4 linked regions of the Caenorhabditis elegans genome follow. The protein of the gene in region 3 purifies or fractionates together with the protein of the main gene of each other region. This does not show direct contact. Each region holds a gene or a part of one and is shown on either strand. Other genes may lie near its edges.

Region 1 (6,919 bases), on a different chromosome or scaffold from region 3:
TTAAATACGCCTTCCAGCATTGTGTACAAGCTCTGTGATTACAAGAAAGCCCAGAGAGTTCTCCCAACGAGCAACATATGTCGCATTCCGCGTCTCCAGCCGGCAAACGCTCCTGGCGACGTGGAATAACATGAGCATCGATAAGAAATGTGGTAGTGTCAGGATGTTCGTAGAATCGTTCTAATAATGATTCCTTATTCCATTTATACTTGTGCAGAAGAATCCGACAGACACCAGTTTTCACTTGAAGAACTGCTTGTACATCTGTTATTGTCTTTTTCATCTCTGCTTCCAAGGAATCGTGGTTTAGCACCTGAAATTTTGAATATTTTAAATGAAAATCGTAGGTTTAAAACCTCATTATCCGGTTCCCCGTTATCTTTGTAGTCGGAGCTATTCTGTTCGCGGCTCTCCAGTACGATGCCATCATCGTCAGACATACACTGCAAAATTTTGAAACTTTCTCATTATTTCGAGTCTTTGAAATTTCAAATTTATTTTTAAAAATTGAATAATTCCTACCGACAATGACATTGCAGACAATTTGCTGATGTTGTCCATTTTGTTTCGAAATAATTTAAAAAAGAGCAGGCTGTTACCGATTCAAATGCCACGTATTTACACATTTTGAGAGGTCACGTGAAAATTCTTACCCCATCGTCAATTTCTCCTTGACTTGAGTCACTGTCGTCCATATTGATCTCATCGTCGGAACTCATTCTAAAAGTTTTTCTCAATTATTCACTCAATCAAAAAAAATCAATTTGATGTATCGATTTTCTGCCAGTCGCGCACCTAACTGAAAGAGAAAAAATCCAAGAAAAACACTGAAAGAAATAGTAGAAAATGAAAAGAGAGGAAGCGCAGCACAGGCACAGAACAGCCGGAGACAGTTGGTTAAATCGAGAGACCCAATGAGAGAAACGAGCGTGTTTTGTGGGAGAAATTTTGGAGCGCAGAGGGGCACACTTGCGAATGTTCTCGTACAAAGCCATGTGACCTTTTTCTTTTAAAATTCCAAAAATTCAAGATTTAAGGTACACACATTATTGTCAGACAAACATTTTTAAAATTCAAATTAAGTTTTGTGGGTTACGGTAAACAACGCGGTGTTTGCGTACAATCAAAATTGCGTACAATGCCTTTTATTCGACGACTAATAAAATTTGTTTGTTTTATGATTTTAAAATTGTTTTTAAACTAATTAAACAGTCCTTTTATGAAATACGATTTCTTGGAAACGATTGATAAAAATTTAGAAATAATTCATGAAATGATATAAACTTAAATTTAGCATTTATATATAAAGAAAAAAAAAAAGAAAAACCTAATGAGAATGTTAATTCGAGGTACTTAGTGATGAGGAAAACTGAAGAGGAAAGAAAATGAATGAGCAACATCCAACAAAAAAAAAGTTGCGAAATTCAACACAATACTCATAGACATTTCCAAATAAGTAGCTGATTTGACTGGAATACTTTATGAAATGAAGACCAAGTTTAAAATAAAATATTATTCTTTGAAAAGCCGCGATTTATTTTTTTAACAAGAAAATAATCATAATTCAAGTAAAAAAAGTAGAGAGCACCAGTAAGTTTAAGAAAATGTCTGTGATAAAAAGAAAAACGAGATAAAATTAAAATCAATGTAATTTATTTATTTTTGCTTCACTATTCTTGAATTTCTCGCCAAAAAACTGTCGATAAATAAGAAAGAAATTGGCTGAGAAAATGAAGACGATGGTGAGAATGCATTCGAAAATGAACTTTGGAGCGAATATTTTCCAAACCATCAGATGACGCCGATGTATTGAAGAGACCAAACAAGTGAGCGTTGCCCGTATTGTCATCAATACAAGAGTTTCTGTTAACGTCCAAGCTGTGTTGGGTGCAGACATCTGAAATTATAAAGAGTTTTCAGTTTTTCAGTAAAATCTCTCACTTTCTGACTAGATTCACTTTCACTTGAGATCACAAAAATCGATGAGATCGCCGAAAAGTTGAGATGAAAGAGTACGAAAAGTGCAGGGAGGACACGAAGAGCTGTTCCACCAGGAATTCCAACAAACGCAGCATTCCATGGAATTGAAGAGATAACTGGTGAATGTCCAAGATGATAGAATCCTAGTGGGATGAGCAAAGCGATTGTAGATGCAATGAATTCTGAAATAATGGATTCTCAAGAAAAACAATTTATCAATTTTTGTCACCTCTTGACACAAATTCAGCAATTAATACTGAAACTGCTATGAATATAATTATCGCCGGAATCAGCCCGTCACCAAATAAGATATAAACCGGCATCAATAAAAAATGAGCACATATCGCAGAATTTCTGAAATTTAAGAGTTGCCTTTGTGAGAGTAGATAAGCCTTTTAATTGTTCTCGTAAAATACCCTTCTCTCCAAGCGAGAACAGCGCAAATTAAAGAAATCACAGAAAGCGAATGAGCCGACAAATTGGCTCTGGAGACATCATGTGTCAATGATGCGAATACTGAGTGAAGTACAATAATTGCAATGTGAAGCCATGATGTTGCTGAGAGAATTCGAATTGTTTCTGAAAATTAAAATTTTTTTCGCTGAATACTTTTTCTCAACCTGAACTCCTCTTTGAGTTTGATTCAATTTGACTTTTGGTATCTCGAAGTCCGTAATATTTGAAAACCGAGAGATTGGCGACAGCAAGAGATCCGAGAGCAAATAGAAGTCGGACAACTTGTGCGTCTCCTGAAAAATTAGGAAATATTTTTAGAATTTTGTATTTAAAAGATTATCTATTTAAAATCAAGAAACTACGCTCATTTTAGTTAGTGTAATTTGAAAATACGACTCTCAATAGAACAAAACTCCAAGAAAAAATTAATTTCGAAACAAAAATTCCCTTTCGTTGCGAGACCATTCGCCAGACTACGGTAGATGTGAAACTTGGGGAAGCCGTGTACTACTCTCGGACAAGCGTTATTTATTATTTTTTGACAAATTTTGGAATTCTTTCTTATTATTTATTTTTCAACTACTCTCGTTAATTTTCACTTACTGGTTAAACTCCCAGCCTGCCTCGAAGGGTAATATGTATCACATCCAACTTCTTCTTCACGACATCTATGAAAAATGGGCTCCGACCTCAGACCAACCATAATTAGTGTGAAAATTATTAGATTTTGATCTTGATTTACAAATTTCCAAAGAAAATTTAGCTTAAACGGTTTCCGAGGGCGCAACGCAGTCGAGCTGAAAAAATAATTTTTAGTAATGTTTCGGTTGAATTTCAGTTGCTAACCGCAATTTTTCAAGAAACACGAGAGTAACGAGTGATTGCAAAAAGTATCGAACAACTTGAGCTTCGTAGACCACATAACTGTTCGAAAAAAGACTAATCGAATGGATTATGACGAGAATTGGGCCTGAAAACTCGATTTTAAGACAATATTTCAACACATATTAGTTCATATTTTTGCTCACGTCCATTTACGAGCAAATTCTCACTTCATTCACTTTTTTCGCTTTCTGTGTTCATTGCCCTCCCCTAGGTTCACCGTATAAACACAAACGCGCTCCGACGCACACCTCTGTTGGCCAGCGTTCCCTCTTTTTGCGTATCCAGCAATTAAACATTATGCTCATTTTATTGATTTTTTCTCATAAATTTGAGGTTTTTGAATTTGAAACCACGTTTTTCACTACGATTGTTTCTAAACTGTTGATGATAATTCAAATATTGAATTTTAAAATGCATGACCCGTTATTTGATTCATTTTCCAGCTCAAATATTTCAAAAAACCGATGTTTTCTTTTTCTAATCTTCGCACACTTTTCATAATTCAACTAAAACATTTCTACCATTCTTTCTAGAAAAATGGCAAAAGCAGATGCTCTGTTCCGACAACGTCGTCCCGGGCGTCCGGTAAAGGCTCGTCCAGTTGAAAAGGACATCAAAACTGGATTCGATGGAAATTGGGATTTAGTGGTCAGAAAGTGTCCCACCACATTCTCCCAGCATGTTTCAGAAGTTACCACAGCACAGCCAGAGACTAAGGTGGGATTTTTAAAGAAAACTTTCTCCCAAAGTATTAAGATTTTGAAGATATCGCCCAAAAACTTGTTCCCCATCAAATAAACTAATTTGATTTAAAAATCCTTGTCCTCTATAATATAATCGTATTTCCAGGTGCAAAACGACGAGCTATTGAAACGGCGATCTCGGCGGAAGACAGAAATGAGACCATTTCAGGCAATGTGGGCAAAGAGTCTCAGTGGCCTTCAAGTATCCATCCCACACGAGAAACCAGACAGGGTTCGTTGAAATGTTTGGGGTCTCAACACGAAAAAACTAATTCCGAACCATTAAATTTGGAAGACATTTTCTAACAAAGAATTGTGGAACTGGTATAAAAACAAGTAAAACATAAATTAATTTCCAGATCGGTGACGTTAAAAAGGCAGAATACTCGTACGAATCAATTAAAAAGATCTCATTGATCAAGCCAGGAGTGTCTGCATTTACTCCAGAAGAGGCAATGACTACAGTAATCCAACAAATGAACAATGGATTTATGACAAATGGAACATTCGGACAAGCAGCTAACAAAGATAAGCTCGATGTTAATTTCATCGGATTAGCTCTCCATGATCAGCCACTTTGTGAGGTAAGCCCAGTTGAAAACATTTAAAAAATCTCGAAAAATATTTTTCTTGCTCTGGAAAAGCCTTTTTTAATTAGAAAAAAATAAATCAAAAATGATATCTTGAGAAAACCAGAAATTTCAAAACAGTAAATATTCTGACTTTTTTCAGAAACAATTTTAAATTTTTTTTTTCATATTTTCAGCGTATTCCAATTGCACACATCGTCGAAGAAATCAGTTCCCAAGAAAAACGTGTCCTCGATGCCCGTAAACGACTTCAAGAGGTTATGAAGTACTTTGGATGAAGTTTCCCTTATTATATACGCCAAAAATACTTTCGATCTTACTATTTATTTATTTATTTTCCAATTTTGGACCTGCTAACTTTTTTTTTATGTAACTATATTTCTGATGAACAATGAATTACCTATTACTTTTGCCGAGAGCATCGATTTTATCGATATCCGAATTTGCAAAGCTTTATGACACATTGATATGATAGAGGAGAGACACGAGACCGCGAGAGTCATCTGGAATTTTAGAAACTATTCCACCAAAACTGGCGGGTGAAAGAAAATTACCAGTAACAAAGTTCTGGCACTCCCATCGGAATCAGTTTTATCAGTGAGAAGTGCTGCCTGAAGGAGACCACATCCCGTTCGATAGATTATCCATTCTAAAGACATCACCTGAAACAATGAACAATTTGACACGTGGTCTCACAAATTCTAGAAATCGAAAGGCCAACCTCATTAGTAATCAAGAACATGATAGCTTCAACGAGTGAGAATATTCCAGCATTAATATAAGCATCATCAAATTGAGTCCACGATACTCGAAGAAGTGTCTGGATTCGTGACATTGTGCTGGAAAACATTTATTACATCAAAACTCCGCCCACAAGGTGGTACTGTAGTTCAAAAAACTCACTCGAGCTGTTCTTCCATTGTATTTGAATCGCGAATTGTATGAGAATGAAGTTCGCCGAAATTTTTCTGCGCCGCGTAAGTTTCCGCGAATCTAGAATTTTAAAAACTTTTTTGAGTGAAAATAACGTTTAAAGGCACATGCCAACTGAGTCCTGCCACACGAAACCCATCATTTGCCTCTACAATTCTTAAAACTAAGTTTCACCTTTTTACTTGCTCATAATTCATTCCAACCGCAATTTCCCATAAATCTCTGGTAAATAATTGAGTGATAACAGTTCCTAAATTGGAAAATGGAATAGGAAGACCCATTAGAAGAGATATTGTTGGAACAATATCGATTTGATGAATTGGACGTTCAGGAAGAATAATTTGATGTTTTTTTGAGTGTACAAGGATTCCTGCACGAATTTCATTTTCAGATTCTCCGCCATGATCTCCTGTAGATGTCATTCCATGATCATCAGATTTCATTGTTTCGATCGTTTGACCAATTATTCGATCCATCTGGAAAGAAAGATGAAATGGGTCAACGTCCAAAAAACTCTAACTTTTCGCAGAGTGTCTGCCATGACTGGATGAGATGGTCCAAATTTATGTCCACAGTGATCAACTCCGAGAAAATGAGCAATAATGATTGATGAGTTTGAATTGAGCATTTCATCTTGTAGAATCGCTGGAAAGGAATTTTGTTTTTATTCACCGGAAATAGTCAACTTTAAAAAACGCGTTTTTTCTTCAAATTTTGGCAGATTCTCCTGTTTGAACATCCTCCAAAATGAGAACTACAAAACCAATCAGAAAATGGCTCCGTCCATTTATGAACGAATGAATGTTTTGAAAGTGGATGCGTCCTCTTATTTTGGACGAAATTCAAATAGAAAAATCTGGAAAAATCGAAAAACTTCGTTGTTGAATTCATTTTTGCATTTGTTGGCATTCTTAAATTTCTGATTATTTTACGTCCTTCAAAGCAAAATACCATTTTATTATAATACTTTCCAAAAAAAATCTTACGAGCAATTTTATCATCGACGGTGTTCAAATCATTAATGTCGAATGAATCGTAGGCTGCTGTTTTTGAGAATTGATTTGGGAACAAGGAAAGCCTGGAATGTCTCTGATGACTTTGATAATTGTGATATCTGACAAAAATCCAAATATTTCACAGTTGCGATCTTCTGCGAGATTTGACGGGAAAGTACGGTACCCGTTCTCAAAACGACCGAAACTTTGCAACTACAGTACTCACAAATATTTCGAAATTTCTCTTTCTCATTTCGAGAAATTTTGTATCCATAATTCTTCAATACATATACAGTTTTTGCACTAAAAAGAAAAAAACAAAGTTTCGGTCGGCCGA
Region 2 (9,770 bases), on a different chromosome or scaffold from region 3:
AGAGTTCTTCGACATGATAAAGTGTTTCATTGGCACTCGCCCTAACAGTACATGACAAGGGCGGATTATTATCGATCGATATTGAAGACAAACTCCAAATGTGTGCTCATTTTGGAGCCCCGTGTGGGGCAGCTGCTCTCAATATATTACTAGGGAGACGAGGAGGGGGACCTTATCGAACGTCGCATGAGCCATTCTTTCTTCTTTATGCACTCTCTTCACTCTCTCACACATTAATCGATTCATAGACTCCCATATTCCTTGATGAAGGTGTGGGTTTTTAGCTTTTTTTCCCGATTTGTAAAAGGAAGAGGCTGACGATGTTAGGAAAAAGAGAACGGAGCCGAAAAAACATCCGTAGTAAGTCTTCCTTTTAAGCCGACACTTTTTAGACAGCATTCGCCGCTAGTTTTGAAGTTTAAATTTTAAAAAATAAAAATTAGTTTCAATTTTTTTTAATTACTAAATAGGCAAAAGTTTTTTCAAGAACTCTAGAAAAACTAGCTTAATTCATGGGTACTAGAAAAATTCTTGTTTTAAATTTAATATTTATCTTAAGATGTAATTACGAGAAGCTTTTTTGAAAATTCTCAATTAAAAGAATTTGCCGATTTAGAATAAAAGTCTTCAGAAATGAGTAAAAGCTCAAATTAGAAGTTTGTTTTTAAAGGAAAAACACGAAAAAAGAACACTATTTATCTTTTCCTCCCCGCGTAAAATTAGTTGTTGTGATAATAGTGATCCGCTGTCTATTTGCACTCGGCTCTTCACACCGTGCTTCCTCTCACTTGACCCAACAGGAAAAAAAAACATCACGTCTGAGACGGTGAATTGCCTTATCAAGAGCGTCGTCTCTTTCACCCAGTAACAAAAAAAATTTGGTTTCTTTACTTTATATTTATGTAGGTCACAAAAAAAAAGTGATGCAGTTTTGTGGGTCGGTTGTCTCCACACCACCTCCGCCTCCAGCAGCACACAATCATCTTCGTGTGTTCTCGACGATTCCTTGTATGCCGCGGTCGTGAATGCACCACATTCGACGCGCAACTACACACCACACTCACTTTCGGTGGTATTACTACACGTCATCGTTGTTCGTAGTCTCCCGCTCTTTCGTCCCCACTCACTCCTCATTATTCCCCTTGGTGTATTGATTTTTTTTAAATGGTACACCACTCCTGACGTTTCTACCTTCTTGTTTTCCGTCCATTTAGATTTTATCTGGAAATTTTTTTAAAATTTTAGGCCAGAGAGTTCTAGTTCTTGTTCTAAAAGTCTAGGTCAGACATACATTTTCTATTTCTCATCAAAAAAAAAGTTGATAAAGAAAACTGGTTATTCAGAAAGAGTGTGTCTCGTTGAAATTGATTCAAAAAAAAATTCCCACCCCTCGCTTGTTTCTCAAAATATGAGATCAACGGATTTTTTCCTTCTCGATTCAATTTTTTGCTGCGCTCTGTCTGCCAAAGTGTGTGTGTCCGAGCAAAAGATGAGAGAATTTACAAACAGAAATGAAAAAAAGTTGGCCAAATAATGAAGTTTTATCCGAGATTGATGGGAAAGATATTAATGTTCTTTACGGTTTGGAGGGGAGAGAGAGATAGATTTTCGCATCAAACTCCGCCTTTTACATGTCTTTTAGAATCTAAAATAGATTTTTCTCATCATTTTTAATAGAAAATCGAGAAATTACAGTAATTTCGCAATTTTCTTGCCAAAAATACACGAAATTTGTGGGTCTCGCCACGATCTCGGTCTTAGTGGTTCATTTGGTTTAAAAGTTTATAAAATTTCAAATTCTAGTGTTTAATTTCCGCATAATTGGACCTAAAATGGGTTTTTGTCATCATTTTCAACAAGAAATCGTGAAAATCCTGTTGTTTCGCAATTTTCTTTTCAAAAATACACGAAATATATGGTAATTTCCCGAAATATTGAGGGTCTCGCCACGATTTCAGTCACAGTGGCCAGGATTTATCACGAAAAAAGTTCGCCTAGTCTCACATTTCCGGAAAACCGAATCTAAATTAGTTTTTTGTCATCATTTTGAACAAAAAATCGAGACATCCCTATAGTTTCGCAATTTTCGTCGCTTTTCTCTCCAAAAATGACAGTCTAGAATTAAAATTCGCTGGAACTGGGACCATGATATCTTTTCTCCCCGTTTTTCATTTTATTTTTTATTACACTGGATTGACTAAAGGTCACCACCACCGCCAGTGTGTGCCATATCACACACACACACACACACAATGTCGAGATTTTATGTGTTATCCCTGCTTGATTTCGTTCCGTTGTCTCTCTCTCTCTATTCATCTTTTGAGCCGAGAAGCTCCAGAGAATGGAGCACACAGGATCCCGGCGCGCGATGTCGTCGGGAGATGGCGCCGCCTGGGAAGCCGCCGAGAGATATCAGGGAAGATCGTCTGATTTCTCCTCGGATGCCACCTCATCTCTCGAGTTTCTCCGCCTGTTACTCCCTGCCGAACCTGATATTTCCCGTTGTCGTAAAGAGATGTTTTTATTTTACTTTACACCGGGTCCTCTCTCTCTGCCAGCACAGCTCAGTGTTGGCTGTGTGCTCGGGCTCCTGCCACCGGCGGCCTCATCTTCTTCTTCTTCTTCTCTCCTGCTCTCGCTTATCACTTCTTCATTCATTCTTATTCCTTTTCATCATCAAACTAGCATTTCTTACTTTATTTATTTTTTTCAATTTTCAATTTTCAGATAAAACCAAACTACTTGGGTTACAGCCGTCAACATGGAGGACGCGCATGCCAAAGACGCCAATGAGGTACTTTTATAGTTTTTAAATTTTAGTTTTTAATACAATTTATTTTCCAGGTGTGCAAATTCTTCGGAACGGGTCCGGAGGGATTGACTCCACAGCAAGTTGAAACATTGAGGAACAAATATGGAGAAAATGGTTGGTTTTTTACATGGATTTCTCATTAAAAATTGAATTTTTTCCAGAAATGCCCGCCGAAGAGGGAAAATCACTGTGGGAGCTGATTCTCGAGCAATTCGACGATCTTCTCGTCAAGATTCTCCTCCTCGCCGCCATCATCTCGTTTGTGCTCGCCCTTTTCGAAGAGCACGAAGATCAGACAGAAGCAGTGACGGCGTTCGTCGAACCGTTCGTCATCCTTCTCATTCTTATTGCCAACGCGACCGTCGGAGTGTGGCAGGTAGGAACAACACAGACAGGCGCACGCGCTGAAAGAAAATAAGAAGAAGAAGAAAAAGCACAGTTGTTTTCTGTGTTTTTGTAGATCAAAAGAAAGGAACTAGGAGTGATTGCACAGAGAGAGAGAGAGAGAAATAATGTCTTTTTGACTTGTTTTTGTTGGTGAGAGAGATAGGGAAAAAGAGTCCCTAAAGAAAAAATAGTGTAACGGGCGGTCCGGAAGAAATGCTCTTTGCGCCGAAAAGTTTTTGAAAAAAGAAGAAAATGATGAAGGAAAGGCGTGCGTCATGAGCTTCGCATTTACGTACGCAAAAAGTGAGGGATATGTGAAAAAGATATTGGGTGATAGAATAGTTGATGGATTGGGCTGCACTATTTGCCTCAATTTGCCACAAATTTCCATCTAATTTGTCATAATTTTCCAGGAACGAAATGCTGAATCGGCCATCGAAGCGCTCAAGGAATACGAACCAGAAATGGCCAAGGTCATCCGATCCGGACACCACGGAATTCAGATGGTTCGCGCTAAGGAACTCGTGCCAGGAGATCTTGTCGAAGTTTCAGGTTAGCAAAAACTTTTTTTTTTAACTTTCAAATTTTAAACCATATATTTTTCAGTCGGAGACAAGATCCCAGCCGATCTCCGTCTTGTGAAGATCTACTCCACCACCATCCGTATCGATCAGTCCATCCTCACCGGAGAATCTGTGTCTGTTATCAAGCACACCGACTCTGTGCCAGATCCACGCGCTGTTAACCAGGACAAGAAGAATTGTCTGTTCTCGGGAACCAATGTCGCATCTGGAAAGGCTCGTGGAATCGTCTTCGGAACCGGATTGACCACTGAAATCGGAAAGATCCGTACCGAAATGGCTGAGACCGAGAATGAGAAGACACCACTTCAACAGAAGTTGGACGAATTCGGAGAGCAACTTTCCAAGGTTATCTCTGTTATTTGCGTTGCTGTTTGGGCTATCAACATTGGACATTTCAACGATCCAGCTCACGGTGGATCATGGGTTAAGGGAGCAATCTACTACTTCAAAATCGCCGTTGCTCTTGCCGTCGCTGCTATTCCAGAAGGACTTCCAGCTGTCATCACCACGTGCCTTGCCCTCGGAACTCGCCGTATGGCCAAGAAGAACGCTATTGTAAGATCCCTTCCATCCGTCGAAACTCTTGGATGCACATCTGTTATCTGCTCTGACAAGACTGGAACTCTCACCACCAACCAGATGTCTGTGTCAAAGATGTTCATCGCTGGACAAGCTTCTGGAGACAACATCAACTTCACCGAGTTCGCCATCTCCGGATCCACCTACGAGCCAGTCGGAAAGGTTTCCACCAATGGACGTGAAATCAACCCAGCTGCTGGAGAATTCGAATCACTCACCGAGTTGGCCATGATCTGCGCTATGTGCAATGATTCATCTGTTGATTACAATGAGACCAAGAAGATCTACGAGAAAGTCGGAGAAGCCACTGAAACTGCTCTTATCGTTCTTGCTGAGAAGATGAATGTTTTCGGAACCTCGAAAGCCGGACTTTCACCAAAGGAGCTCGGAGGAGTTTGCAACCGTGTCATCCAACAAAAATGGAAGAAGGAGTTCACACTCGAGTTCTCCCGTGATCGTAAATCCATGTCCGCCTACTGCTTCCCAGCTTCCGGAGGATCTGGAGCCAAGATGTTCGTGAAGGGAGCCCCAGAAGGAGTTCTCGGAAGATGCACCCACGTCAGAGTTAACGGACAAAAGGTTCCACTCACCTCTGCCATGACTCAGAAGATTGTTGACCAATGCGTGCAATACGGAACCGGAAGAGATACCCTTCGTTGTCTTGCCCTCGGAACCATCGATACCCCAGTCAGCGTTAGCAACATGAACCTCGAAGACTCTACCCAATTCGTCAAATACGAACAAGACATCACATTTGTCGGAGTCGTCGGAATGCTTGACCCCCCAAGAACTGAAGTTTCGGACTCGATCAAGGCTTGTAACCACGCTGGAATCCGTGTCATCATGATCACCGGAGACAACAAGAACACCGCTGAGGCTATCGGAAGAAGAATCGGACTCTTCGGAGAGAACGAGGATACCACTGGAAAAGCTTACACTGGACGTGAATTTGACGATCTTCCACCAGAGCAACAATCTGAAGCCTGCCGCAGAGCTAAGCTTTTCGCCCGTGTCGAGCCATCTCACAAGTCCAAGATTGTCGATATCCTTCAATCCCAGGGAGAGATTACTGCTATGACCGGAGACGGAGTCAACGACGCTCCAGCTTTGAAGAAGGCCGAAATCGGAATTTCTATGGGATCAGGAACTGCTGTCGCCAAGTCTGCATCTGAAATGGTTCTTGCTGACGATAACTTCGCATCCATTGTGTCTGCTGTCGAAGAAGGACGTGCTATTTACAACAACATGAAACAATTCATCAGATATCTCATCTCATCTAACGTCGGAGAAGTCGTCTCCATCTTCATGGTCGCCGCACTCGGAATTCCAGAGGCTCTCATTCCAGTTCAACTTCTCTGGGTTAACTTGGTCACTGACGGTCTTCCAGCCACTGCTCTCGGATTCAATCCACCAGATCTTGACATTATGGACAGACATCCACGTTCAGCCAACGATGGACTCATCTCTGGATGGCTCTTCTTCAGATATCTTGCTGTCGGAAGTACGTTTAAAAAATTCCCCTAAAAAAGTATAATTCTAAAATTGAAATTTTCCAGCCTACGTCGGAGTTGCCACCGTCGGAGCCTCAATGTGGTGGTTCTTGTTGTACGAGGAGGGACCACAGATCACCTACTACCAGCTCACTCACTGGATGAGATGTGAAATCGAGCCAGACAACTTTGCCGATCTTGACTGCGCCGTATTCGAGGACAATCACCCGAACGCCATGGCTCTGTCCGTGCTTGTCACCATTGAGATGCTCAACGCCATCAACTCACTTTCCGAGAATCAATCGCTTTTAGTGATGCCACCATGGAAGAACATCTGGCTGATGGCCGCCATTTCCCTTTCGATGTCTCTTCACTTTGTCATTCTCTACGTTGACATCATGGCCACCATCTTCCAGGTATCACAATTAATCATATATTAATCGAAACATCTAATTCAAATCTTCAGATCACCCCTCTCAACTGGGTCGAATGGATCGCCGTGTTGAAGATCTCACTGCCAGTGCTCCTTCTCGATGAAATTCTCAAGTTCATCGCCAGAAACTACATCGACGGTAAGCCGGAGACGGTCGGCGCGAAGGCACGTAGTGCCATCTCGCTGCTCGCCTGGGTGTCTGTGACGCTCGCCTACTTTGCGTGGATGTTGGGCCCGTACGCCGAGCTCATTAACCATGCGCTCGTCGGTCCATCTGTCGATCCGTCGAAATTCGACGCGGTTGTCACGCCCGACAAGTTACATAACGAATTGTGATTGAAGTTCTTCTAACCCCCAAACCAACCGCCTCTCAAACAACTTGTGATGATTTCTCTTTATTTTCTCTCTCTTTCTTGTTCTAATCATTTTGGGCCTTTTTCCCTTTTTCTCTCTGCAGTGTGTTAACTGATCCATAATCCTTCGTGTAAACCCCCCTCTCCCTACTTTTAGGATTTCTTCCTCGTTGCTCATTGTATTTTGTCCAAATCGCCACAATTTCCCTACAAATATATATGTTTTTTTTGCTAATTTTTTGTGTTTCCCTTCCTTCTTGTCCACTGAAAGTTCTACGTCTCTCGCTCTCCACATCCCCATTGTTCTCCCCTTTTTTCATAATAATTTATTATTATCCTTTTTTTAAATTAATTTTTGTTGCGTGTGAATCTATTAGGAGCTCACAAATAAAAGTGATCCTTTAAAAAACCTTACTTCCTTCTGTTTTTTCTCTAACCTAACCAATGTGTCTGTTCAGGGAGTGCCTCTTTTCTTTACCGAATGGTGTGCAATTTTGTCGACTGTCGATCTCGTCCATGGCAATGCAGGATTTGAAACTAAATTTCCCTGGAAAAAGAAATAATTTTGGTGATTTTCAGTTGAAGCTCCAATCAAGGATAAACGCGACTAAAAATGACAGTGCTCCCTCAATCAGAGTGAGCCCAGCCGCCGCCCATCTCATTTTTCAGACTCTTTCATATTTTCTAAGTTTTCCAATTTTTTTTCTTTTGTAGTGCGATCGTTTTCGTTTCGAGACCCGAAATCGAAAGGATCTCTTTTAGAGATCTTTAGGATCTTTTTTCTTTGCTCAACTCATCATTCTTTGTTTTTTCTTCTATATCCTCTTGTTGACGGTGATCAGACAAATTTGTTAGAAATATTATTACATTTCCTTTAGGTTTCTTCTATTAAAAAAAAAGAAAACTTCTGCTAAATTCGTGTACGTTGTCTCTCCCATTTCTCATTAAAAATCGATATTAATTGTAATTTTTGGTTTGTCCTCCAGTGTCGTGTGCGCCATCGATGGAAATAAAAAAGTTTCAAAACTATTATAGCTTTTCTTTTTATGAAAAATATAAAATACAATTAGAATGTTTTTGTTAAATGCGATACGGTGTGCGCCTTTAAAGAGTAGAGTACTGTAGTTCCAAAATTTTGTTGGTGCGGGATTTTCATTGATTTTTCATCGTTTTTCGACAAAAATATATTTATTTATTGAAAAAAGTTAAATAAAACTATTAAAAACACAGAATTTTTAACAAATTGTGAAAAACACATGAAAAATCGATGACAATTCTACAGTAACGAACATTTTGAATTACAGTAATCTTTAAAGGCGCGCACACGTTTGCATTTAATTAAAATGTGTCGTGTCGAGACCGACTACCACGTCTCGTTATTATAGAACGAGCAATTACAGCCTAACATCAACTCAGAACAAACCAGGATCCCACGCAAGTTTAAAGGAGCATGCTGGGTATCACAACGATTTTTTGAAGAGAACGAGGCCCCACGAAACGGGGAGCAGAACGAAAAGGGGATCTGCAAAAAGGGGATCTGCAAAAAGGGGATCTGCGAAAAGGGGAGATATGAAAAGGGGAGATACGAAAAGGGGAGCTGGCACTGTGCCAAACGCACAAAACGCAATTTTTCTCACGCAACGCACGTTGATTTTTGAAATTTTCTTCTAGAAGATACGCTTAACAACACGCGACGCGTAACATCGGAGCATCGTTGTATTGTTTTCTTCGAGAAAAATAGCGTTTGGCACAGTGCCAGATCTCCTTTTCGTATCTCCCCTTTTTCGTATCTCCCCTTTTCGTATCTCCCCTTTTCGCAGATCTCCTTTTTGCAGATCCCCTTTTCGTTCTGCTCCCCTTTTCGTGGGGCCTCAAGAGAACGACTTAATTGTGCATGAATTCCGGAACAGCCACCTTCAAATTGAACACTGATTAAACGAATAAAATGGTTCATTTAAAACGGAACCGAGAAAAAATGGGGACCCGTAAAATATTCACAACGAGAGGGGAAAAAGATGGAAGGGGAGGGTCAAATAATTTTCACATACCCTAAATGAAATAAATACGGTAAAATATTGGAGGAATGCGATAAAAATAAATAGAAAATGGTGAATAATGAGGGGGGCGGGGAGTAATAATCATGGTACATGAAGTGGGTAGCATATCGTCGCGGGAATCAGCAATCAGACGTTTTCCACGGCGACACGGGTGTTCGAGACTATCTGCGCAAGTTGATCAAGCTTGGCGAGGCATTCGGCTTTCTGGGCAGCACTCGGCTCGTTGGAGAGGACAATCGTCGTTTCGCGTATGATCTTTTCAGACATATCTTTCAGGTTCCGGACGTGATCGACCGCTACTCGACGATGTTCTTGCTTCTCGACCATCTCATCGTACTCTTCATCCGATTTGTCTGCCGATGGGGGCAGGAACAATTCCTCGTCTCGAATTGGGGTTGCTTCGCCGCTTCCGTCGGTTCCCATTTCTTTGACACTGAAAAATGTGAATTTTTTTTAGCAAAAAATAAATAAAATTCCTACCGATCCGCGTAGCGAAGTGTGTTGAGCGTGTGATCACTCGACGAGATCCCTGGCGAAATCATCGAGATCATCACTGTCCTGGACTTCTCACCGATGAAGCTGTCTCGGAGAACCATCGTGAGCTTCGACTGTCTGAACGGGACATGTGAGCTGTTGCGAGCCATTCCACGGATGCACTCCTTCAGTGCGAGCAGCGATGTGTTGATGTTGGCGCCCTCTTTCCGCGTGTCACGATCGCATTCTCTCGTGTCTTGTCCTCGCTCGTTTCCAGCCAAGTCGATCAACGAGAACTTGCCCCACACCTTTTTGCCTCTGAAAATAATTAATTTTAAAGCAATCTTCACGTAAAAACAAAAACTAACTGTCTAAGAATGATCTGGAATATGGCGTGAGAACGCGACGAGTTCGCGTTTGCCGAAGTGGTTCCAGCGGTTCTGACCAGAGTTCCTTTGTTGATGAGCTCCAAGACATCCTGCTCATTGTGCGCTTGCTCCTCTTTGAGCCCAACAACCTGCACCTTCTGCATCTTATCCTCAAGCACACGAAGCTCGGCCTTATCGTTGAGCAAGTCGTACGTCTTCGTTCCGTAAATCTC
Region 3 (8,283 bases):
GAAAATGGAAGATCAGATCTATGGCTACAAGAATCAGTTTTTGGAATCTGCTTAACTCGGTCCCAAAGCTGAAATTTTCGGTCTTAAAAAGTAGTCCTTTTTTTGCTCAAAATGCCGTTTTTCGTGTGTAGAAGTGGCTACATAAAAGTTTGGCACTGCAGCCGCCGTTCGAATGGCCGATTGGTGAACTCTTGTGCTCATTAATCTAAAGGTCACGGGTTCGTTCCCCACTAGGTATTAATTTTTTTTTGAATTTTTCCTCTAGCATGAAATATGCACAAAAACACGGTTTCTTCCGTTTTTTGGTAACTTCGGAATAAATTTTTTGGTTCCTGGGAATCATAAAAGTAATTTGGAAACTTTTTGGAAGTTTTCTTTTTTTGATAAATTTTCACTTTTCTCCCACCTGATGTATGCACATTTTTTTCTTCAAAAATAATTTTTCAAAATTTTTTCAAAAAGTGTTTGGTTTGAAAGAGCAGCATTAGTTTGGATATTTCTACGATTTTGGAGGATCAAATGTCATTTTTAGGAGAAAACCACTGTTGTTTTCTCTAGACTTTTTCACGAAAAGGACCTACTTTCAAAGACTTCCAGCTCCGTTGACGAGTAAAATAAAAAAGAGTTGTCAACTGCAAAGTTATTTCAAAAGTACCAATGAACAAATTGTCAGTTGAAGTTACTCTGCTAAATTTTATGGGTAGAGAGATATAGCTAATCGAAGTGAAGCTTTAACTTACTTAATTACTAATGTCCATATCTCTCTACCCATAAAATTTAGCAGAGTAACTTCAACTGACAATTTGTTTATTGGTACTTTTAAAATAACTTTGCAGTTGACAACTCTTTTTTATTTTACTCGTCAACGGAGCTGGAAGTCTTTGAAAGTAGGTCCTTTTCGTGAAAAAGTCTAGAGAAAACAACAGTGGTTTTCTCCTAAAAATGACATTTGATCCTCCAAAATCGTAGAAATATCCAAACTAATGCTGCTCTTTCAAACCAAACACTTTTTGAAAAAATTTTGAAAAATTATTTTTGAAGAAAAAAATGTGCATACATCAGGTGGGAGAAAAGTGAAAATTTATCAAAAAAAGAAAACTTCCAAAAAGTTTCCAAATTACTTTTATGATTCCCAGGAACCAAAAAATTTATTCCGAAGTTACCAAAAAACGGAAGAAACCGTGTTTTTGTGCATATTTCATGCTAGAGGAAAAATTCAAAAAAAAATTAATACCTAGTGGGGAACGAACCCGTGACCTTTAGATTAATGAGCACAAGAGTTCACCAATCGGCCATTCGAACGGCGGCTGCAGTGCCAAACTTTTATGTAGCCACTTCTACACACGAAAAACGGCATTTTGAGCAAAAAAAGGACTACTTTTTAAGACCGAAAATTTCAGCTTTGGGACCGAGTTAAGCAGATTCCAAAAACTGATTCTTGTAGCCATAGATCTGATCTTCCATTTTCACTTTGTTTTGTCCTCCTAGCGATTGCAGGGGTAACACCATTCCCTAGTAAAATTTGCCTTTTTCACGTTTTTGAACTGTTTCATACGGAAATTTATGTTTTTTGGAATATTTTACGTTAACTATTAAAAAAGCACCCAGAAAAATCGATAATTTCAATTTATAATTTTTCCAGACATGAGTGACGAGTTCGCCGTCAACGACAACTTCCAATCGAAGCTGACACGTGTCAAAGTGCAAATGGTGACAGGAAAAGTGGAATCGGAGCCCGAGATTCGTGAAACTCGCCAGAAAGTTGAGGATGATCGAAAGTTGGAAGTGGAGGCGGCGATTGTTCGTATTATGAAGGCCCGAAAGAAGTTGAATCACAATAATCTGGTGGCAGAGGTGAGCATTTTTCCATTATATTTTTTATTTTAAATATTCAAATATTTTTTAAAGCTAAAATCGAAGTACGAAACAAAAAATACGATATAGAATGAGAAAAAAGTGTGAATGTTGCCAAAAAATGAATATTCACGCATAGTACACGTACTCGTAAATCTACACAACTCTTAAAGGAACATTGATTTATATATCGTGTTTAGATTGTCGAGGATGTCGGAAAAAAAATGTTTTTTTTTAATCAAAAATATAAAAATGGGCTCAATTTCGAGCTATTTTTCGAAAAACCTAAGTTTTTTTTTCGAATTTTTGACTTCCCGTTTTTCAAAAAAAAATTCGGTTGCACAACAACAACAACGCCAATTAAAAACCCAAATTCGCTGCAGATTTTTGCAATTTTCAAAAATTTAAAACAATTTTCCAGGTGACCCAACAACTGCGCCACCGCTTCATGCCGTCACCAATCATCATCAAGCAACGCATCGAAACACTGATCGAGCGAGAATATTTGGCTCGCGATGAGCACGATCATCGTGCCTATCAATACATTGCCTAGGGTCGATTTTTTCGTTTGGTTTCCAATGATTTTCACTCTCATCTGCTCTCCATTTACTTTTGCTATATTCTCTTAAAACACAGCAACAACGATTTGTTCATAAATACGTAATTTCTGTGGTTATTTTTACATTTAAATTTATTTATTTATTCCTTCTCTCTTTTTTTCTCACTCGATTCTTGGACCTGATGTTGCCTTGAACATTTGTATGTAGATGGGTCTTTTTTTTTCATTATTTCCCCCAAATCATTTCAAAATTATTTTATTATTTTCATTATATCATCTCGTCAAATTTGCTCCCTATCCAGATAGTATCCACCCCTGAAAGTTTTTGTCCCCACCAAGGGTGTCATTGAATAATCGATTTCAAAAAAGTTTTGGGATGAATTGAAAAACGAAAAATGTTCGATTTTTAGAAAAAATCGAAAAAAACCGACACCCTTGGTCCCCTTTTTATGTGTGTGAAGGCAAGTTCCTGCGATTTTAATCTCATTTTTTTCTTTCTCCTCTACCATTATCGTTTTACCCCTCCCCCACTGAACATTGAGCACAAAATGTCATATTTATATAAATGCTTCCTCCTCCAGATTGTTTTCAGCTGAGACCTGATGTGTCTCGAAACGTTATAAATTTTGCAGATACCGTAACACCACTATTTTCTATAAATTTTCAAAGCGTTTTAAAACATATTTTCGTTTTAAAATATATATATTTTTTTTTGTACTGTGGTTGCAATTTTTGAAATTTTCATTGATTTTCCAGAGTTTTTCTCACTTATTTGCTGAAATTTATTATTTTTAAATCCAAAAATTGAAATTACTGTACTCTCTAAAGGCGCACACACTTTTGGATTTTACAAAAAAAAAATGTCGTGCCGAGACCGGGGCCCACATTTTTAGCGCGAAAATTGAAAATTTCCGCAAAAAAGGTTTTTTAATCGTATTTTTACTTAAAAAACAATCATTTTTACATCAAAAATTAAAGTTTTACTTGGAAAATCTGTTGAAAATCGAAAAATAAATGAAATTAAACTCAAATTACTATTTATTTTATGTTTTAAAAGATGTGTTTTCAGAAAAAAATTGTTCCGAGCTTTTCCATACAATTTTCAATACATTTTAAATATTTTTATTTGTATTTCTTTCTAAAATTCATATTTATTTATCAAAAATTAGAATTTGTCTTTGAAACCTGCTGAAAATCGCAAAAAATCAGTCGGAACACTTTTTAGAGGTTTTCAATCGTATTTTTACATTTAAAATTTAAATTTTCACTGTAAAAACTCGAAAAACCAATTTTTTTGTATTCAAATTCCGGAATTTCCCAATTTTTTCTGCGCTAAAATACTAAAATTCATGCGCGCGCGATTTTCGAAAAACAGTGAATGTCTGCTTCTCTACACTCTCTCATCGACGAGAGAGACACACTCGCCCCACGCTGTAGCGGTAAGAGACGCAGAGAAGACAAGAGTCACCGCAGTCATTCGCGCGCGCTTTTCACAAATTTTTTTTTGTTGCTTCGGCTTTCAATGTTCCAAATTTTCAAAATTCAATCATTTTTAATAATAAATGTCTTATTTTGGTTAAATAATCGTAGTTTTTAATAATTTTCGCTAGATTTCATTGAAAAAATCAAATTCCTCGAGTTTTTCCGCCTGAAATTATAATTTTCCCGGCTTTTTTCAATTTTCCACATTAAATTCACAAATTTTTCAGATAAAAAATCCATAAATCCATGAATTGAGCTGGACTCGCCGAGGATTTTCGGAATTTTGGACAATAAATATATTTTTCATCTCAAACTAGCAAAATTCGGCGAATTTTTGAAAAGTAGTGGCTACTTATAATAATAATGGTGGGTTTTTCAATAGATTTCGGAGAAATTTCATTTTAAAATCATTTAATTAATTTCAGTCTGACGATCCGGCGTTTTTAGCGCTCGGAACAGAGGTGAGCGCCAAGTTTAAAGGCGCTTACTGCGAGGCGAAAATTCAGAAAGTCGATCGGAGTCTTAAAGTGAAGGTGAGCAACGGAAATCGATGAAAATTGAAGAAAAATCGCGAAGAAAGAAGCAGGAAATCGAAAATCTACGAAATTAAACTGAAAATTGCTCAGAAAAATGCAGAAATCCGCATTTTTCTCGCTCCGGGGTGAAAAATCGCTGATAAATCCGATAAAAAACCCCGGAAATTTTGGAAGAACAGTTTTTGAGCAAGAAAAGTCACAGAATCCTCTTAAAAGTCGATATACAGCAGATTTTCCACTTAAAACCGATTTTTGCGATAATTTTCTCGCTTGCTAGTGAAAAATGCTTATAAATCTGATAAAAACCCTCGAAAACGTGAAAAAAACCCAGGAAACAAACATAAATAAGATAAAAATCATAATTTTCACCTGAAATTCAAGATTCCACCAATTGATATTTTCGAGGAATTTTCGTCATTTTTCGTTGGAAATCTGCATGAAAATCCGCTGAGAATTGATTTTTTCGAATTAATTGGAAGTTCTCCTGAAAATTCGCTTAAAAATATTTTTTTAAACCAAATTTCCGCATATAAACGGGTTTTAGTTAGACATTTTCCTTTAAAAATCCAATCCACTGAAAATCGTTTTTTTTTTCGTATAATTTCCGCAATATGACGGTTTTAAATGATTTTAGCTGGTAATTCTCCTGAAAATCCCGCAAAAAATCGATTTTTTCGACGAATATTCGTCATGCTTCTGTTATATTCGTGATTTTCATACAATTTTACATAGAAAATCCGTCTAAAATCGAGATTTTTCCCCAAAAATTTCAAATTTTCAGGTTTCGCTCAAAGAATCCCCATTTGGACAGATGATTGTGCAGGACAATGATCTACCGAACGCAAAATTCGAGATAAATGAGCTTACAGACGTCGTATTTCAGCGAAAATTCATCCGATGTCAAATTCAATCGATCAAGGATCAGAGCAAGTACCACGTCGGTCAGTATGGCTGAAAACGTGTCGAAAAATCGTGAAAATCAATTTTTTAGTGAAAAAAAATTGCAAAAACCACCAAAAAATCAATTTTTCGATCAAAAGTGGCGAAAAACGTCCAAAAAACTTATTTTTCCCACAAAAAGTTTTTTAAGGTAGAAACCCAAAAAAATCCCATTTAAATCATTTTTCAGCCAAAAAACGTGATTTTCAATTCCAAAGTCGAAGAAAAACTCATTTTTTTGCCAAAAAATTACGGTTTTGTCGCAAAAAACCGAAAGATCACACTAAAAATCGGTTTTTATGATAGAAAAACTGAAAAATGATCTATAAAATTCATTTTTTTGCAAAAAAAAATCATTTTTTTAGTACAAACCAAAAAAAAGCTGTCCATAAGAAAATTTCAGTGAGAAAAATTATTTTTTAGCCGAACCAATTTTAATTTCATACCAAAAATCAAGAAAAGGACCGAAAAATTGCCTTGGAAGTCAATTTTTAGTCGAGAAAATCGATTTTTGATGCTAAAATCATTCTAACCTTGATTTTATGCCGGAAAAAATTAATTTTTCGTAAAAAATCCTGAAAATCACTGAAAAATCGATTTTTCTATGCGAAAAAACCGAAAAATTGCCCAAAAAAAATCAATATTTCTTCCAGTTTTCAACGATGGCGACGAAAAAGAGCTCCGACGCACTCAGCTGGTCCTAAAAGGTGGAAAACACTTTGCAGCCGATGGAAATCTCGACTCAATGCCGCTAACAAATCCGGAATCCTTCTCAACGCCCGTAATACGTGGCGCCGCAAAACGTGGAGCTCAGAAAATGTGCGGAAGTTTTTTTGAAAATCTGGAAAAATTGGTTCAAAATCTATATTTTTTGGATTTTTCCGAGCGAAAGTATCACATATAATTATCCACAAAAATCAAGAATTTTCGATAAAAATAACGATTTTGACTGAAATTTTTCAAAAATTGCATCTGAAAATCGAAAGTTTGCAATTTTCTCGGAAAATCGTTAAAAAACGAAAATCATTTTTTTAAATTGGAAAATAACCAGAAATTATTGAAAATTCGATTTTTTTGTTGAAAAAATCGGGAAAAAAGAAAAAATTTATAAATTTTCGATTTTCAAAAATATACATTTTTTTTCTTTGGAAAACGCAGAATTCCACTCTAAAAAAATGTTTTAAAGGAGGACTAACGGTTCGGACGATTTTGAACGTATAGACCCAAAATGAGCTCAAATGAACGAATTTCGTAATGAAACTGCTCAAAAATTTTTCAAAAATTTTTAATGGCGGTTCAAAATTTTGAAAAAAATTACACTAATTTTAGCTAAAATCCAGAATTTTTCCCATTTTTCCGTGTCACATCCGTCCGAAGTTAGCTTTTTTTGGAATTATCGTACTTTATTGCATATATTGGTATTTAATCTCATTTAATTTCGCCGATTAAAGTACATTTGAAGCCGATAGGTAACCAAAAATCATCGAAATTGGCTACCTATCGGCTTTAAATGTACCTTAATCGACGAAATTAAATGAGATTAAATACCAATATATGCAATAAAGTACGATAATTTGAAAAAAGTCAACTTCGGACAGATGTGACACGGAAAAATGGGAAAAATTCTGGATTTTTTCAAAAATCAGTGTAATTTTTTTCAAAATTTTGAACCGCCATAAAACATTTTTGGAAATTTTTTGAGCAGTTTCATTACGAAATTCGTTCATTTGACCTCATTTTGGGTCTATACGTTCAAAATCGTTCTAACCGTTAGTCCTCCTTTAACGAAAAGTCGAAAAATCGGGGGAAAAAATGAAAAACTGAAAAAAAAATTGAAAAACTAAAAATTTCCGATTCTTTGATATTTTCAAACCAAAAATTTCAGCCGAAATGCTATTTCCGAAGCGTCTGGAAGTCGTGGCGGCGCCGTTCTTCTTCACAACGACGACGATGAGAACGACGAAGAAGATCAGGAAGATGGTGAAAATGAAGAAGACGCCGACGACGATGATGATGACACAGAAGAACAGCAACAACCACGAGAACGACGGCGAGCCGCCGCAATTTCAGCAATAGGAGTGCTAAAAAAAGCGATAGAGGACACACAGAGCGAAGAATCGTCGGCGGATTCCAGTGAGGAACGAGAACGAGCGAGAAGCCGACGGAAACGGAAGGATGAAGCTTCATCAGCAGTTACATCTGACGAAGAGGATCAGGAGGATCTGGCTACCACAGATTCCGAAAATCCAGTCATCAATGGAGCATCATCAGCAGCAGCTCTCTCGAAAACTCTGCAGCGAAAACTCGAAAAACAGGCAATGAAGCGAGAAAAACAACGGCTGAAAGAGGAGGAACGAGAAGAGAAGCTTCGGTTGAAAGAGGAGAATCGGGAGAAAAAGCGGCGGGAAAAAGCAAGAATTATGGAGCTGAAGCGGCTAGAAAAGGTGTATCGGACCTCGAATGCCAGGATTCAGGAGAATCACGAAAAGTCGATGACACAGATCATTTCGCATAGATCTGTACGCTATTTTGCGAGATTCTCGGATCTCAAGCATCGTCGGAAAAAGAAGAAGCTCTATCTACACGAGCATCGGCAAAAAGTGAATTCTCGAATTCGCAACGTGAAGCTCTACTTTGCTTGGCGCTTCGTTGCTCACAAGGCTCGATTGTCGTACTTTGCACGGTACGCACTTCAGTGGTGGAGGACGAGCGAGGATCAGGCGTACAGCTTAATCCGAACGGAGAAGCTTTTGAGAAGTCAACGGCGACGAGATTGGGTTGGAAGCTGGCTCGAGGGCCTGGAAAGGGAGAAGATTCGATTTGTTGTGATACATGAGAGCTACACACAGGCGCGTCGAATTTTGAAATATATCGAACGGGGAACGGAGAAGGTTGATATTTAGTTTTACGAAT
Region 4 (8,008 bases), on a different chromosome or scaffold from region 3:
TTGAGATAAATCGATCACAAAAGAAATTACAAATATTGTTTTAAAAAAACATAAAATAGGCGGTAGGCAGGCACCTAGGCGAGCAAGAAGTACCTATCCACTATTTCTGTTTTTTTTTGAAATTTCGAATAAAATCTGTGGAGTGGAAGGTATGAGCTAAAAAATAGGCAGGCAGGGATAAGGAAGGCACATAGTTGGGAAGGTTTAAAGTAGGCATATATTACCTACCTGCCTACGCACCTACTTTGCCTGCAGCCTAACGGCAGGTAGGTCTGAGGTAGGCACATAGGCAGGCAGGTAACTGATAAGCCTACAAGCATGATAAATACTTAACAACTCACCTAAAAGGTACCTTAATAACTCACCTAAAACATCCGTTGCAGTTAACCGAGCACTCTGACAATCCTGAGCACTTGTGGAAGCAATCAAAAAGAGCAGGGAAAGCGCAATTTCTTGCGCGGAACCCATTCAATTTGCTCTCCTATTCGTCAAAATTCCTGAAATTATATTTTTCACTTTTTCTCTCTTTTTCTAGAATTCTTATTTTCTGAAAAAAGGGGGCGGGTGGATTTAATCACTATGGTAACATGCACATAGACAGCCAAGAAATGTGATTATTTCTGGGGAAAAAAGAGAGAAAAGAGCAAGGAACACGAGGAAATTGTAAACATTAAATTCCAGCTAATCACGTTGCAAAAATGTCTGAAAAACATCACGCACGCCGCTAATTTTGCGCGTAGGATATGGTGCATTGAATACGGTGGCTGAGAAAGGGAAAACTGACAAACTGCACAGACAACTATATAGTTTGGTAGGCATTGGTAGGCATACCTTCACACCTGCCTACATGCCTGCCTGCGCCTATTTTAGTGCGATTTTGGAGTGATCTCGAAGGTTGTTGGTCAGTATTAATTTGCAAACATCAGCAAGTGTAGGTTTTGTAGGCAGGCGTAGGTAATGTTGGTAGGGGTTATAGGCAGGCACAAAGTAGGTCTAGGTCTTTTAAGCAGGCAAAACACAGGCGTAGGTATTGCAGGCAGGGACAAGACAAGCCTAGGTATTGTAGACAGGCACAAGACATACCTAAGTCTTTTAGGCAGGTACAAGGCAAGCGTAGGTCTGATAGGCAAGCAAAATTCAGTCGTAGGTATTGTAGGTAGGCCTGCTTTTCAAAAAAAAGTGTACTTAGAAAAAAATCGGGAGGCCAAAAAGTGTCGATACGTGTGTGTGTGTTCAAAAAGAGATCGGATCAAGAGGGGATTTCATAGATTCTATTTTTCAAAATTTGGATAGTCTTTGACCGAACAAAAGAGGGAATATAGTGAGACGTAATCGAAAGTGTTAGAACTTTTTTTTAACCTGTGGGATGATTGTCTAGTTTTTTGATGTACTCTCTCTCCTCTTTCTCACTCGCTCTCTGTGTGGTCATTGTTGTCTTAAATTTTGGCGCATAGTTTTTGGGCAAAAAAAGCAGGGAGACAGGCATTTGTGGATAGGCATGAGTTACCATAATATTGCCCAGATGTAAATTTTTGCGGTTTTGCAGTCTCAGAGCTCCCAATTTCATAAATTCAAAAAAGTGTGTACCTTTAAAGAGTACTGTAGTTCACAATTTCTCGTGACCTCTGGATTTTCAGATTTTTTCTAGTTGGTCTCCCGTTTCCTAAAAATGTTTACATATTACGGGAACACAAAATTCTGAGAATGCGTATTGCACAACAGATTTTACGCGAAAAATATCTCGAAGCGAAAACTACAGTAATTCTCTAAATGACTACTGTAGCGTTTGGGTCGATTTATCGGCTCGATTTTTGAAATTATTTTTTTCCATTAGTAGCAGTAATAATCCATCATCATCTTTTACTCTCTTACTCTCTTACTATCATCTCTTACTATCATCTTTTACTTCAAAAAATTTCAAAAATCGAGCCGATAAATCGACCCAAACGCTACAGTAGTCATTTAAAGAATTACTGTAGTTTTCGCTACGAGATATTTTGCGCGTCAAATATGTTGCGCAATATGCATTCTCAGCATTTTGTATTCCCGTAATACTAATGAAAAATATTTTCACATATCTTTCGATTTTTTTTACAGTACTCCTTAAAGGCGCGCTGTCTTTTGCAATGTAAAAAATTCGGTCGCTTCGAGACCTATTACCGTATTTCTGAAATTTTTCTCTGTTCAGAACGTTCAGTGACAACTAAAACCAATTTTTCCTCTGAAAATACAGAAAAAATTTGTGAAATTCTGTAAAAATGGGGGAATAAATATTTTTAAAACATGATGATCCCGTGAACGTGACCCTGAACTCCCGAAAATATCCACGTGGCTAATCCAACTCCCACATATGAACTTTAAAATCAAAAAATTTATTTCGCCGAAAGATGAGCCAAATGCAAAAATTGGGCTCGAAGAGCAAAGGTCAGAATCCGAATAAAGGGGATGAGGTGGAGATGCTTCGTGCCGGATTCAAGAACAAGCATGGAGAAGCTGTCAAATCGCAGGGACAAACCATGAATATTGAACTCTAGTAGGGGTTTTCCCCCTAGCTTCGGTGCGAATTTGAGAATAAATATTTTTACTTAAGTAAAAAGTATATACTTGAATATTTATTTAAATTTTTAATTAAATAAATGAGACCCCACAATTTGAGAATGCCTGAAACGAACCTGTGACTTTTCCAGAAAAAATCATTGTGAATTTCAATTAAAAAGTTTGAATATTGTTGGCTCAAATGAGTTACTATTATATTACTAATATTTCGCTGTTCAAAATACACTTTTCAGCTTTGAAAGTTATCTATTCCCTCACATTTCTAATTCCCACGTTTCTCCGTCTCCTTTCCATCGAGAGTTCTCAGTCCGCAATTTGTCGTCACGGTGTACATTTGCAGAAACACTTTCACTTGTTTGCAAGTGTTTTTTTGTTGTTCTCTCGGCGTCTCTGCTAATTTTTTCGGTTTTAACCAGTTTTAATGTTCCGAATTTAATAATTTTTGATTAAAAATCAAGGTTTCCAAGTTTTCAGGGTATTCCGATGGTCGATTCACACGGTTTGCAGTCGCCAGACGTCGTTGTGGAGAAATAGTGAGTTGGGCCAGGACGAATATCGATTTATTTATCGTTTTCCTGTATGGAAATTCAAAAATTCAAATGATTTACAGCACTATATCGAGAGAAAAGTCGTCGATTGGCTTCGAAATCGGCAATAATGTGACCGTTCAGTTGAACGCGCCATCGGACGTTGACAACGGGCGAGAACGGGATTCGTCGAATGCGCACACAAAAGTTATTATGGATCACAAGGGAGATGTAAGAGAATTAAAGAATTAAGAATCGTCAATGGGAAAATTGTTTAAAAATATAGTATTTGTACTCAAACTTCCAATTATTGCAAAAGAAAAACGGGAAAAATCCGCTAACATTCAGCAGTTTAAGTCAGAAAAATCGTCGAAAATGTAAATTTAAAGGGAGAGTAGAGTTTCTGGGTATTTTGCTCAAATAGACTAAAACTGGTCCAAAACCAACGAATTTCATAATGAGACTTCACAAAAACTTTCCAAAAATTTTTTATGGCCGGTCAAAATTTCAAAAAAAAGAGCCAAATTTTGCTAAAATCTGAAATTTCGCACACTTTTCTTTGTCACAGCCGCTGGATTTGAGTTTTTCTGAAATTATCACCCTTTAATCCTTATTTTAGTAATTTATCTCGCGGAAATTCGTTGATTGAGACAACTTTTTGGCCGATAGGATTCCAAAAATGATCAAAATTGGATGCCTATCGGCCTAAAAGTTGTCCCAATCAACGAATTTCCGCGAGATAAATAACCAAAATAAGGATTAAAGGCTGATAATTTCAGAAAAACTAAAATCCAGCGGCTGTGACAAAGAAAAGTGTGCGAAATTTCAGATTTTAGCAAAATTTGGCTCTTTTTTTTCGAAATTTTGACAATTTTTTTTTTGACAAAATTTTTGCCACGAGGATCAATCGAATCTTTCTAAGAAAGAAAACAAATTAAAGTTCGAAATAAATACATTTAAATCAATATTTCGTTGAACGAAAATGGCCTAGAAATCGTGTAGTGGCCTAGGTTTCAAATGCGCGCGAAATTCAAATTCAGCCACTTTCGTCGATTTCAACGGTTAAATGCTGAATATTAACGGATTTTTCCCGTTTTTCTTTCGCAATAATTGGAAGTTTGAATACAAATACTACATTTTAAAACAATTTCCCACATTGACGATACTCCTTTTTTAAAGTAAATTTAAAAAAAAAACACAGAATTTAAATACATTTTTTTATTTCAGATTCAATATCTACGCGGGAGAATTTTGACGTCAAACGGACCAATCGTCGGATTCCGCTCAATTCACGAGTCTGTCGGTGAATCCATGAACCTTATCAATTTGCAAACAAAGCAAAGGCACCGTTTTAAGGTTTAAAAGCCAAATTTTGATTTTTTAATTTAAAAATTGCTTCAGGACTTCCCATTCCGTACAATCGACCTTGCCTTCGCCCAACATCACAAATACCTCGCCGTGCTCAACGCCGACCTCTCACTTGTAGTATTTGAGGTGTCTGACAGATGCGATCCGTTAGTTATTCTACAAAATTGGAAAAAAAAATCCAGAAAAATCGAATTTCAATTATTTTCAGAAAGAAATACCTGTCGATCGTGAATTGGCCGTCATATCAATCACAGGGAAACGAGGATCAACCGAAACTCTCGTGGTGTCCGTATATTCAGGGTGAAGATGAGGATGATGAGACTATTCATATGATTGCTGTCTACTTGGTCAGTGTCGAGGCGAAATTTCGAGAAAATTGAGGAAAAAATTCAAATTTTCGAGAAAAATAGATACAAAATTTAGCCGATTTTGCACCAGTACCCGGTCTCGAAGCGATATATTTCTATGAAAAAGTGCCTTTACGGAGTACAATTGCCGTTTGCCAAATTTTTTTGTCGACAAATTCGGCAAGTTGCCGATTTGCCGGAAATTTCTATCCCGGCAGTTTGCCGGTTTGCCGATTTGCAGGAAATTTTCAATTCCGGCAAGTTGTCGATTTGCCGATTTGCGGGAAAATTTAAATTCAGGCGGTTTGCCGAAATTTTTAATTCCGACAATTTACCGATTTGCCGGAAATTTTTCAATTCCGGCGATTTGCCGAAAAAATCGTTTGCCGCCCGCCCCTGCTGTAGTCGAACCAATGGCGTCGTCGAAAAATTTTCGATTTTTTCGGTTTCCCGCTTAGAAAGAGAGGCGGGACGTATTTTTGCAACCCTGCGGCACGGTTTTTTCTTCTTCTTTTTTTGCCCGTTTTCCATAAATTTTCGGTTTTACTCGTTATATTCTCTTTTTTCGAATGAAAATGCTATTCTTATAAAATTTAGAGGATATTTCATGTTAAATTGGTTTAAAAAACATGAACTATCCTAGAAATTTTATGAGATTCAAATTGAATATTCATTTAAAAAAGGAAAATGACACAATTAAAATCGAAACTTTATTGGAAAAAATCATTGAAAATAGTGGGAAACGGGCGAAAAAAGTGGAAAAACCATGCGGCAAGCTTGCGAAGTTACGCTCCGCCTCTTTTTCTGTGTGGCGCTGCTTTTTGCAAATTTTTGCATAAAACAAAAAGTTAAAAACTACAGTACTCCTTAAAGGCGCACGTTTTGATTTAAATTTTTTAGAAATCTGTCGCTTCGAGACCTTCCACCGTATTTTACGGCGAAAATCTCATAATTCTGCTGATAAAATAGTGAAATTATTTTCTTGAAATAATTTCAATTTTTTGTATTTTCTTGATTTTTTCTTACTTTTTTAAGAGAAAAACACCGCATTTTCAATTAAAAAACAGCTGATTTTGTTGAATTTTTCAAAAAGAAAAAAATCTCAATTTGTTTCCAGGGTCGCCAGCTGTACATTGTGAATCTAGGAGTTTTGAAAGAAGCGGGTCTAGGAGACACTATCGAATTTGAGGATGCAAAGAAAGAGGACGGTGGACTATTCTGTCACTATTTCTCTGATCAACCGGATAAAAAGAATCTGAGAATTGCTTCAGTCTGTATATCTCCTGATTCTACAGCTGTTGCAATCGCCAAGACCGAGGGTCCCGTACAATTTTTCACTTTTAACGAAGAGAATAATACACTTACCGCTGCTCATTGTTTCGAGCCACGTGGATTCGCTAGGAATGGATTGATCGATGATCTGATCTTCCTTGACGATTTGACACCGGATCGTCGGAAGTCACTTCCATTCTGGAGATCATGTGTTGTTGTATCAAATGATGGACATAAAGTTGCTCTATACGAATGTCAGAGTTGGAAGTGTCTCGGAAGAATTCGCTTCGAGACCACTAGAGCTATCAATAAATTTGTTAGCATTTCGGATCCGGCAGCGAATTTTGTGCATTTGCTCGATGTGGATGGCATGGTGAGCTTGGTCTATTTAATGGACCAGAAAAACCGAATTTTATAAGAAAACTTTGAAATTTTCATCAAAAAGTGTATTAGGACGGTTCAAATTTTGAAAAACGGACTAAAACCTTCAATTTTGCCGAAAATTGATTTTTTTTTTTGAATATTACACTATTTTGCTTATTTTAGTGATTTATATCAGGGTGTGGCGGAAATTGTCGTTCGGCAAATTTTTTTGTCAACAAATTCGGCAAATTTGCCGTTTTGCCGAACATCAATTTGTCCGTTTGCCGGTAATCATCATTTCCGGCAATTTATCGATTTGTAGATTTGCCGTTTGCCGAACTAAAATTGAAATTCTGAAATTTCCAAAAAAAAATGTGCGAAACCAAAATTTTCGGCAAATCGGCAATTTTCCGAGTTGCCGGAGATGTTCAATTCCGGCAATTTTGCGGGTTTTTTCTGGAAATTCTCAATTCCGGCAACATGCCGATTTTCCGGAAATTCTCAATTCGGACAACTTGCCGATTTTCCGGAATTTTCAGTTCTGGCACTTTGCCGGAATTTTGAATTCCGTCAATTTGCCGATTAAAAAAAAAACGAAATAATCGTCAAAAATCCTATTAAAATCAATTTCCGAAAGCTACGACGAGGAAAAGTTGGGAAAATTGAAGATTTTAGCTAAAATTAAACCTTTTTTGAGAAATTTTCCTATTTCACGTTTTGAAATTCGGTTTTTGGGCCATTTTGATACTAATACAGCAAAAAATTAAATTATTGTTCCGTGTATAGCAGGGGCGAGCGGCAATTGCCGGTTTGCCGATTTGCCGGAAATTGTCAATTCCGGCAATTTGCGGTGTTTGCCGGGAAAATTGTTGGTAAAAACTATAGGGCTTAGGCTTCAAAATTAACCAAAAATTCCCATTTTTTCAGAACGTCTTCACAATTGAAATCCGAAATCCATTCCGTACAGACGAGCAGCCACGTTTCGTTGGAATTACGCAGACCTCATTTTGCCATTCGATTTTCTCGATTGCCCCGATTTCGTCGAACACTTTTGAAAATGGTAGCGTGATTGAGCTCCCAGATGCGAAAAAAACCGAAATTTTTTGATTTTTTGTTAAGAAAAATCGGAAAACCTGAATTTCACAAAAATCAAGTTTTCATGATCTAGTCGGAAACAAGATCTACGAAAAGAAGATCTACATTTTCAGGATATGGCACCGTGCCAACTTTCGCAGTTTTCTCCAAGAAATTCGAAACAACGATGCTCCGATATTACGCATCGCGCCTTGTTTAGCGTTTTCCAGAATTTTTTCTTTCAAAAAAAGGCTTTTCTGAACGCTACACAACGCTCGATGCGTAATATCAGAGCATCGTTGTTTCGATTTTCTTCAAGAAAACTGGGAAAGTTGGCACCGTGCCAGATCCTGAAAATGTAGATCTAGATCTTGAAAACGTGGTGCCTCCCAAAACCATCGTTTTTTTTGCAGCTGAAGACTCTGGAGATGACCTATTCAACAATGATAGCAACGATGAGGAGAGCGGAGATGAATCAGATGGAACTGAATCAGATACACG

What was found.
Region 1: the proteins of arid-1 (region 3) and mbd-2 purify together in Caenorhabditis elegans (affinity purification with mass spectrometry, with the first as the bait; one large-scale study listed by BioGRID). This does not show direct contact.
Region 2: the proteins of arid-1 (region 3) and sca-1 purify together in Caenorhabditis elegans (affinity purification with mass spectrometry, with the first as the bait; one large-scale study listed by BioGRID). This does not show direct contact.
Region 4: the proteins of arid-1 (region 3) and edc-4 purify together in Caenorhabditis elegans (affinity purification with mass spectrometry, with the first as the bait; one large-scale study listed by BioGRID). This does not show direct contact.

The regions. Positions count from the first base shown.
Region 1 is NC_003279.8:6,060,234-6,067,152, forward strand, and holds mbd-2 (Methyl-CpG binding protein 2/3 C-terminal domain-containing protein), read left to right. Parts: upstream 1-3,854; 5' UTR 3,855-3,858; coding exon 3,859-4,038; intron 4,039-4,170; coding exon 4,171-4,296; intron 4,297-4,423; coding exon 4,424-4,648; intron 4,649-4,830; coding exon 4,831-4,932; 3' UTR 4,933-5,054; downstream 5,055-6,919. Other genes in the region: E3 ubiquitin-protein ligase ari-1.1, read right to left, coding at 1-313, 357-443, 654-719; pigo-1 (GPI ethanolamine phosphate transferase 3), read right to left, coding at 1,643-1,897, 1,942-2,162, 2,210-2,334, 2,397-2,559, 2,601-2,729, 3,040-3,233, 3,283-3,406, 5,055-5,157 and 6 more.
Region 2 is NC_003281.10:10,809,802-10,819,571, reverse strand, and holds sca-1 (Calcium-transporting ATPase), read left to right. Parts: upstream 1-2,727; 5' UTR 2,728-2,761; coding exon 2,762-2,794; intron 2,795-2,844; coding exon 2,845-2,926; intron 2,927-2,973; coding exon 2,974-3,188; intron 3,189-3,612; coding exon 3,613-3,751; intron 3,752-3,805; coding exon 3,806-5,863; intron 5,864-5,918; coding exon 5,919-6,268; intron 6,269-6,318; coding exon 6,319-6,621; 3' UTR 6,622-7,040; downstream 7,041-9,770. Other genes in the region: klp-7 (Kinesin-like protein), read right to left, coding at 8,822-9,128, 9,176-9,487, 9,538-9,770.
Region 3 is NC_003283.11:182,047-190,329, forward strand, and holds the start of arid-1 (AT-rich interactive domain-containing protein arid-1), read left to right. Parts: upstream 1-4,120; 5' UTR 4,121-4,258; coding exon 4,259-4,261; intron 4,262-4,320; coding exon 4,321-4,428; intron 4,429-5,212; coding exon 5,213-5,372; intron 5,373-6,023; coding exon 6,024-6,189; intron 6,190-7,255; coding exon 7,256-8,261; intron 8,262-8,283. Other genes in the region: cul-3 (Cullin-3), read left to right, coding at 1,643-1,854, 2,276-2,407.
Region 4 is NC_003279.8:3,344,923-3,352,930, reverse strand, and holds the start of edc-4 (FHA domain-containing protein), read left to right. Parts: upstream 1-3,039; coding exon 3,040-3,089; intron 3,090-3,166; coding exon 3,167-3,314; intron 3,315-4,310; coding exon 4,311-4,439; intron 4,440-4,484; coding exon 4,485-4,597; intron 4,598-4,659; coding exon 4,660-4,798; intron 4,799-5,915; coding exon 5,916-6,443; intron 6,444-7,360; coding exon 7,361-7,493; intron 7,494-7,920; coding exon 7,921-8,008. Other genes in the region: W05F2.7 (Hyphal_reg_CWP domain-containing protein), read right to left, coding at 366-468.